Struthio camelus: one gene and its partner. The protein of the gene in region 2 purifies or fractionates together with the protein of the main gene of each other region. This does not show direct contact. Links are inferred from orthologs where the notes say so. Each region holds a gene or a part of one and is shown on either strand. Other genes may lie near its edges.

Region 1 (3,746 bases), on a different chromosome or scaffold from region 2:
CGAGGATTTGCAAGTGGTGGTGTATCAGTTTTGCGTTAAGCTCAGACCACGCCTGCAGGTTCACCTAGTGCAGAGGTAAGCCTCACCCTGGCATTCACGTTTGAGTGAGGAACTTAAGCCCATTTGAAGCATTCCTGCTTGCACTACCAAATTCTGCCCCTAAGAGTGGGGGTGACCCCCATCCCGCTCGCATGTGAAGATGGCCAGACATCGTAATTACTGGTGGTGGCTTAAATTCCTTCCTCGTGTCTGTGCCAGGAAGGGCTCTGGCATCTCGCCCCAATGCAATAGGATTGATCCCAACCCGTTTTAGAGGGAAGCCAGTCTGTTTAGAGCGCTTCGATATGCAAGGAAAGCAATACGTAAAGCACAAGACCCCTGTTAATTCGGGTACCAACCGTGCACTCGTACCAAATGTGAAGGAGTCTGTGTTGTCCGCGGAGGAATGTGCAGTGTAAGGAGATGTTGCTTTGGCGACACAGAGCAACAGGTGACCAGAAGTGGATTCATCACGTGGAGTCGGAGCAGCTTATTAACGCGGCGGCAGCGGCGTTGCTTTGGGTGGCAGGCGAGCCCAGACAGTGACCCCCACCGGAGGGAATCTCAACCCTCGGCACTTGTTTTCCACAATATTTTACGTTTCTTTCCATCTCTGTGCAGCCAAGCGGTCTGTTCAGTTTTTCCATCGGCTGGTGTAGAAAGTGCTTTGAAGACACATTGGGTGAGGATCAAAAGGCTTTTTGTGTAATCAGTGGGTGTGACCGGTCTGTCCTCGGCCTCCCCCTCCTTTTTGACTTTCCTTTTCCGGTTTAACTGCGCGAAGTGCCGCCAGTGGGACTGTAGTGTGCCCCTTTCCTTGTAGGGATGGGGGTGGCGAGGGAGGGGGGATGCCGGGGGAAGGAAGAGTTTCTGATGCTGTGGGAATGTGAGCTCTCAAACTCTGTAAACAGCTGGTGACTCACTGCATAACTATGGCACCAACTGCCTGCAAGGCCCGCGGCGCTGTGCGTGTGTAGGGAGGGGGCTGCAGGCCGTTTCCTTTACGCACTGGCAGCGCTCTGCTCTCCTTAGCTTGCTGGGACCGTTTGGCCAAGACAACGAGCTTTTCCTTCCTCCTTTGTGCTAGTGCGTGCGTTTGTGTGTGCTTCTGGCTTGGAGGTAGGGGCGGGCGGTGAATACCAAGTGTGAAGGGGAAGCAATGGAGAGGAGGACGGTGAAAGGGCAGCGCTGAGATCTGAAAAGGCGCCCGTCTGCGTGCGCTCTCATGGGAGAGCGTTTCTGTCTGCCATCGACTCCAGTGCGAGATACGCAGTTTTGCAGCAGCCAGAGGTCAGAGGTGGCCTCTCCCTTCGGTAACTGAGGATGCTTTCGTGGGCAGGTGGGGGCTGTGCTAACAGCGAGGGACTGGGTTTTGCGCTGGGTGCTCTCCTTCCCTCTGCCAAGCCTGCTCCTGCTGCCGTGGTGGAGGCAAGGGCTCCTGGAAGTGGGCCCAGGGTGGGGTTTGATACTGGAGGAGGGATGGGAAGGACTCTGTGTGATGCTCTAGAAAATGCAGCGCACACCAGTTGCTGTAAGTGGTCCATTCATCACAAAGCATCTTGGCTGGTGTGCTGTGCGGCTGTCCTTGTCCCTCCTCCAGCAGGCATGGAAAGCTGTGCTGTCTCAGGCTTAAAAATAGAGGAGGTGCCTAAATACACACCCTAATATCTAGGATAGTATCTTGTAGCTTCGCATTTATGGGATTTGTTTTTTTTTTCCCCCTCTTTATCCTGATTTTTCTGCAAGTCATATGACAATGAGGTGTCTTGACTGATAAAATTCAAGCGAGAGCAACGCAAGCTGAGCCAGCACCTTTACCCGCATGGCTCTCTGTTGTTCCCACACCCCACCTTTGTCCCCCCCCCCCCCACCCCCCAAGTCCCTCCACCCCTTGTTTGCAGATATGAATGAGTTTGTTTACTCTCTGACGACCTCGTGATGTCTTTGCACAGACATGACCTGAAGTCATTATTGCTTTTGGGCTTCTCTGTTTCCATGGTGACTGTCTCAGGGTTGGCTACTTTCCCAAGGTCACCATGGCAACTATCAGAAGGGAATCATGCTTGGGATGCTTTGGCTGGATTTTTCATGAATGATTAGAATGTGTGACACGATGCAGACGTGGGAATGGGGAGGGTGTGGGGTGGGGTGGGGGGAGAGGACTCCCGCCAGACAGGCTGTGCGCTCTGCAGTGCCACTGGGTGTGCAGCCCTTGAAGCCGCCACGGCTGTGCGTAGGGGGCACCGGCGTGGTGTGGGAGCCAGTGCCTCGCGCCCTCCCTGCAGGGGTAGCCGAGATGCTGGGGGAGCGATAAGCAGAGGCTGTGATGGAGTCACAGCTGCAGTCGTCTCTCTCGTGGTAGGTACCTGACAGACAGCAGCGCTGCCAGGCTCATCCTTGGCACTTCGGTGGGGTGAAGATTTCGGATGGAGGTCTAGGCAGGTAGATTTTCTCCAAAGCGCTGGTCGAAGGGGTGTAGTTGCCAGCTAAGGTGAGAGTGAAGGGCAGCGTCTCGACAGAGGACGGTCTGTCTGTCGGTGGACATGCCTCCACGTCACAAGAAATATCAGGCAGGCTAGCTCTAGCAGCCTGTGGGCTGAGAGGATCATGAAGCAACAGCCTTGGTGTGCTGGGAGAGGCAAACACCTGCCTTGCTTTGTTATCTGGGGGCTTTCGTTTCTGCTGTTCGGGTTTTCTAGTAGCGTCTCTTTTGGGTGGGGATGGCTGTGAAAGCAGGTTACAAACTAGGCAGCTTATTTCTGGGCTGCTGATTCAATTTGAGGCTAGGTTAATAATAATCAAAATAAGAATGAAGGGAGTTGTTGTCTTGTGGCTTTTCAATGCCCTTTATGAGCAGAGGTAAGTCTTAATTCAGTCCCTAATAGACCATTCTGTGTGTCTGGGATTCCTCCAGAAGGAGATGAACAACTGATTGGGCCTGGGAGGCTGAACTCTGCTCTCCCCCTCAGAAGAGGTGGCATGTTGCAAGGTAGTATGCAGTTATTAGCATAACTGTTGTTTACAGGCAGGAGCAAGTACCCTTTTTGCCCTCCCAGTCCCATCTTCCTTGCTTGATCTTGGTGTACTTAAAAACAAAATATTAGATATTTAGCATTAAAAAGCAGGGCACTTGTCAATGCACGTTTCCCCTTCTTTCTGAAGGGGGTAAACTAATCTCTGAATCCTTCCCAGGATTTTAAACAGTTGTGTGATGTTTCTTTCAATGATGCTTTAGAGTTGGGGATTTGGAGTGTGTGTTGGTATCGTTTTCCTACTGTTATCTCTGAGATTATGATAACCTGAAAATCTTGTTTTGTTTTTCAGTTGCAATTTCTGAGCAGTTCTGTCCAGAAGACTGTGCTCAGGTTATGACGACTAATCCCAAACCGAACAAGGCATTAAAGGTAGGGAGAAAGGCTGAGTGGGTGATGCTGGGTGGCAGGGGAAGGTGTCAAGGAACCATATTCCATGTGAAGACTGTCACATGTGTTCCCCCCCCCCCCCCCCCCCCTTTGGAGAGACTCTTGCAAATGGGTGCCAATATAATTTCTCACTATCTACAGGAAAGTTCTTGAGAAGATAGGATAGAGAAATACTGGTGATATCTAGAAAGAAGTCTGGCGAGTATGGGATTGCATCAAGGCTAGAGTATCCCAGTTGTTACCCAAGAGACTTTTGACTATAACAAGTATTGGCAGCATCCTGAA
Region 2 (3,746 bases):
TCCCTAAAAGAGCTTACGCTGAATTGGTACATGTACCTGGCATCGCACAAAAATACTAGGCAAGACTGGAAAACAGTATGTTTTCCAGGAGGAAGCTATGTTCACACAGCACCCAGCATCCTAGTCTGCTTTTCAAAAGGCCTACTAGCTCAACGGTAATATCACACTGTTTTCGTTTCTAGCATTAGTTTGTCCGTTGCTAACTGAAGGCTATCTCTTCACGTCAACTTGCTCCACGATGTTTTCTGCCTTACTTGACATCTTATCTCCTCCTACATAGCACAGCACAGACCACGATAGCTGGTTGAAAAATCAGGCCTAAACTAGGAAAGGTCTCTCAGTGGGACACTTCCAGCAACTCGTCCTCGTATCAGCACAGCTCCCACTATCAGAAAGTGTTTTAGCCAAGCTCAGCAAGTAAACAAATTATACCAGCAAAAACACCCTCAGGCCGCTATCTCTGCCAAACGCTTGACTGACATTCCCTAGCGTAGAAACGTTAAAAATCGCATTGCCAACCAAGACTCCTAAGCGGTAGCATTTCCCAACACAGACCTCCAGCCGCACGCCTAAAACAAGTAAGAGTTTTCCACCTGCGAAACACAAGCACCCGGGCTCTCCCCGTGAGAGGCGGCACACGAGGCGACCGCCACTGCCCGCCGGTGGGGGCACCGCGCCCAGCGCCCCCCCTCTCCGACTCCCCCAACGGCCGCTAACGGCCGCCCTCAGGAGGGAGCGGGGGGGAGGGGAGGGAAGGGGCGGCGGCAGGGCCCGGCGCTGCCCCGGGGCGCGGGCCGCCGCCAAGCCGCCGGTGGCAGCGCGCAGGCGCGGGGCGCGGCGCTGTGGGCGGCTGCGCGTCGGTGGGGAGCGCCGCGTCCAATCAGCGGGCGGGGTGTGGAAGGGGAAGGCGGGGGGAAGGGTGGGGGGGAGGAACGGGGCGGCAAGGCGAGTAATGTTGTTGGGAGTCACCTGACTGCTCTCGCCGCAGTCGGGCCGCAGCCTCTGTGGCAGGAACAGCCGAGTCAGGGGGAGCGGGAGGAGGAGGAAGGCGGTGAAGGCGGCTGCCGTCCGGCCACCGGCCGGCCCGCGGGTGACGGTGTCCGCGCGGAGGGGTGGCGGCGCGGCGGAAGGTGCTGAGGTGAGAGGCGCGGGGCGGGGGGGAGAGAAGGCGCGCGCGCGGCCGCTCGGTGTCCGTTGGGACCGGCCGTTGGGCTGAAGGGGGGGGGGGCGCGAGGGAAGCACCATTCCGACGGAGGAGGGGGGGGAAGCGGAGGAGGCTGCGGCATGTTTACAGGGGCGGTGTTATTCATGTGTCCCTCTTCCCCCCCCCCCCCCACCCTCCTCCGGCGGTCGGAGTAGTGGCCGGTCCCGCGGCGGGGCAGGCGGGCGGCCGCTGTCGGAGGCTGGGTCCCGCGGTGGGGAGGACGTCAGGCCGGAGCAGGGCGGGGGGGGAGCCGAGCGGCGGCGGCGGCGTCCTGCCTGCGTCGGGCACCGGGCGGCGGCCTTGCCCCTCCCCCCTTCCCCGCTCCCTAGTGTCATGTCTTCGGGTATTTTACACCCCCCCCCCCCCCGAAGTCCGACTTGGCGCTGCGCCAGATGCCTCTGTGCTTTGGGCACGAGCTTTTAGTCGTTATTCAGCGTCTCCTGCGGGTTTCAGTGGGTGCCCAAGTGCCCGTGCGCTCCGGTAACACAGGCGTGACTCTCCCAGTCTGCGCTCGCCAGCCTTGTGTGAAAGGGGCAACTCTACAGCGCTGGAAATCCCAGCGGTGACTGTGTTTTGCTTAGGTGAAACACGCATCATATGTGTTTGGAAGGCTGGGAAAGATTTATTTTAGACTATAAACAAAGAGATATAAATCCTGTCTGTCTTGTTCTGTACTGTGAAATCCTTGGCATGCTTTGGAAATGTTGAAAATGAAGTAATTAGAAAAGCAGGTGATGATGCATTTACATCACATTCTGTTTACATTCTCCATTTTTAGTATGTTAATACCACAGTAATCCTAAATACATGCACAACCGGGACCTCAGAAACACGTGTTGAATATATAGTTAAAAAAAAAAAAAGGAAGGTAAACATTGCAGCAATCAAAGATAACTATATACATATAATATGTATACGATCCTATAGTAATTCTTGCAAGAGGTCTTAATTTGAGGCACATCAGATAGGTGCATGGAAAATGTTTGATTGTAGTAGTGGAGTATTTGTAATACAGCAGGAAGAAACACTGTAAATTAAGGTTACACAGCACAATGAATGCTCTAGTAATATAGTCTTTTATCGCAGAATATTACACCATACTGAAGAGAAAACAAATGAGAATCACCCAACCAAGCATAGTGAGTCCAAATTAAAGCTGCTTAGATAATCCAAATTTTGTTTTATGGCTTATGAGCTTAACTTTAAAGGTGATTCAATCAGCATAGTTCCTCTTGTACTCCCTTACATATGTGAGTGAAGCTGTGTGTGTAATAGCACATAGTAAGACCCCAAAAATAGTAGATTTACAGAGAGAAACTGTTGTTGCTGAAAACAGACTATCCGCGTTGTATGTGCTTTTGGAAGGCTTTACTTCAGGTTAGCTCTAATGGATCACTTAGTATTTGTACTTCCTTAGATGTACTTCTGGAGTACGTTTTCCAGTTTCTTTTTATCCACAGAGAACCTGTTTTGTTCTAGTCCAAGACCATCCTGTGAAGTGAATAGAATTATAGTAAGTAGGATGTTTGGGGGAAACGTGCTTTAGAAATGCTCTTCTGATTGACTGAAACTCTAATACAGAAGTTCACATAGCATCTACTGTCAATATTTTATGTTGAGAGTGAGTCTGTATGTGTGTATATATATATAAAGTAATTTTGAGTATAAATTGTGTATTTTATACTCAAAAATGTGCAAGATCTTGGAGTAATAAATATTGATTTGCTTAATAGGTTCTAAAATCCTTGTACTAAACATATTTTGATCAGTAGTAATCTTAATAAAGTAGAAAATATATGGATTTGATTATGTCTGTGAAAGTCAGCACATTAATCTGTCATTACTTTCTGCTATTAGAATTGTCTCATATTAAAAACTATACCCTTTGCATTCATTTAGATGTAGCACTATCATTGGGCGTAGACTAAAAATGTCTGTGGGGGTAGAATAGAGGTTGCCTCATATATCAGGTGTGTGAGTCCCAGATAACTTTGCCCTATAGCTTTAGGAAAATATAACTCAAGAGTCTTTATTCTCCCCCCTCTCGTTTCTATAAAATGAGAAGCGCTCTGATAAACTCCTCATAGGTTTCCTGGTAGTCGTAGACCTGTCTTTCTCAATGCACTGGGCATGTTGGTGTGAGAGGGAGGCATGGTAGATTGGTCAAAGGATTTAGGTATATGTGAGTGCTGACATTTTAGTTGTCAGAGTTCTACTGCTGAAAGGTTCATGACGAAGTTTTAGGGACTGAAATATCCTATGTGGTATTTATCTTTATAGCATGAGTGCTGTAAAGGGTTAACTTAGGGTTATATGCAACCCTAAGTTAAGCTATAGTTAATGTTAGTTGATGTCTATCCACTTCTGCGAAATCTCAAGTAAGCGGAAAAATAGCTGCTGAAGCAGCTATTAAGTTGTGTGAATTCAGCCTGGTATGACCTAAGTACCAATAATACATTAGGACCCCTCTGCAGCTCCCCCTTTCCCTTCAGCTCAGAGATTAACAAGTTGAGGGGACGGAGGAAATCACAGAAAGGCTCAT

Evidence for each region. The genes of interacting proteins can lie anywhere in the genome.
Region 1: the proteins of BACH1 (region 2) and MAFK purify together in Homo sapiens (affinity purification with mass spectrometry; 6 studies listed by BioGRID and IntAct, counting the BioPlex papers as one, with this or other methods). This does not show direct contact. The link is inferred for Struthio camelus from reciprocal best matches to the Homo sapiens genes BACH1 and MAFK.

What each region holds. Positions count from the first base shown.
Region 1 is NC_090956.1:6,858,102-6,861,847, reverse strand, and holds the start of MAFK (transcription factor MafK), read left to right. Parts: upstream 1-904; 5' UTR 905-1,264; coding exon 1,265-1,352; exon of another isoform or gene 1,353-1,362; coding exon of another isoform or gene 1,363-1,378; intron 1,379-2,159; exon of another isoform or gene 2,160-2,397; intron 2,398-3,363; coding exon 3,364-3,443; intron 3,444-3,746. UniProt on the Homo sapiens protein: Since they lack a putative transactivation domain, the small Mafs behave as transcriptional repressors when they dimerize among themselves.
Region 2 is NC_090942.1:118,936,408-118,940,153, forward strand, and holds the start of BACH1 (transcription regulator protein BACH1), read left to right. Parts: upstream 1-900; 5' UTR 901-1,138; intron 1,139-2,664; exon of another isoform or gene 2,665-2,717; intron 2,718-3,746. UniProt on the Homo sapiens protein: Transcriptional regulator that acts as a repressor or activator, depending on the context. Binds to NF-E2 DNA binding sites. Plays important roles in coordinating transcription activation and repression by MAFK.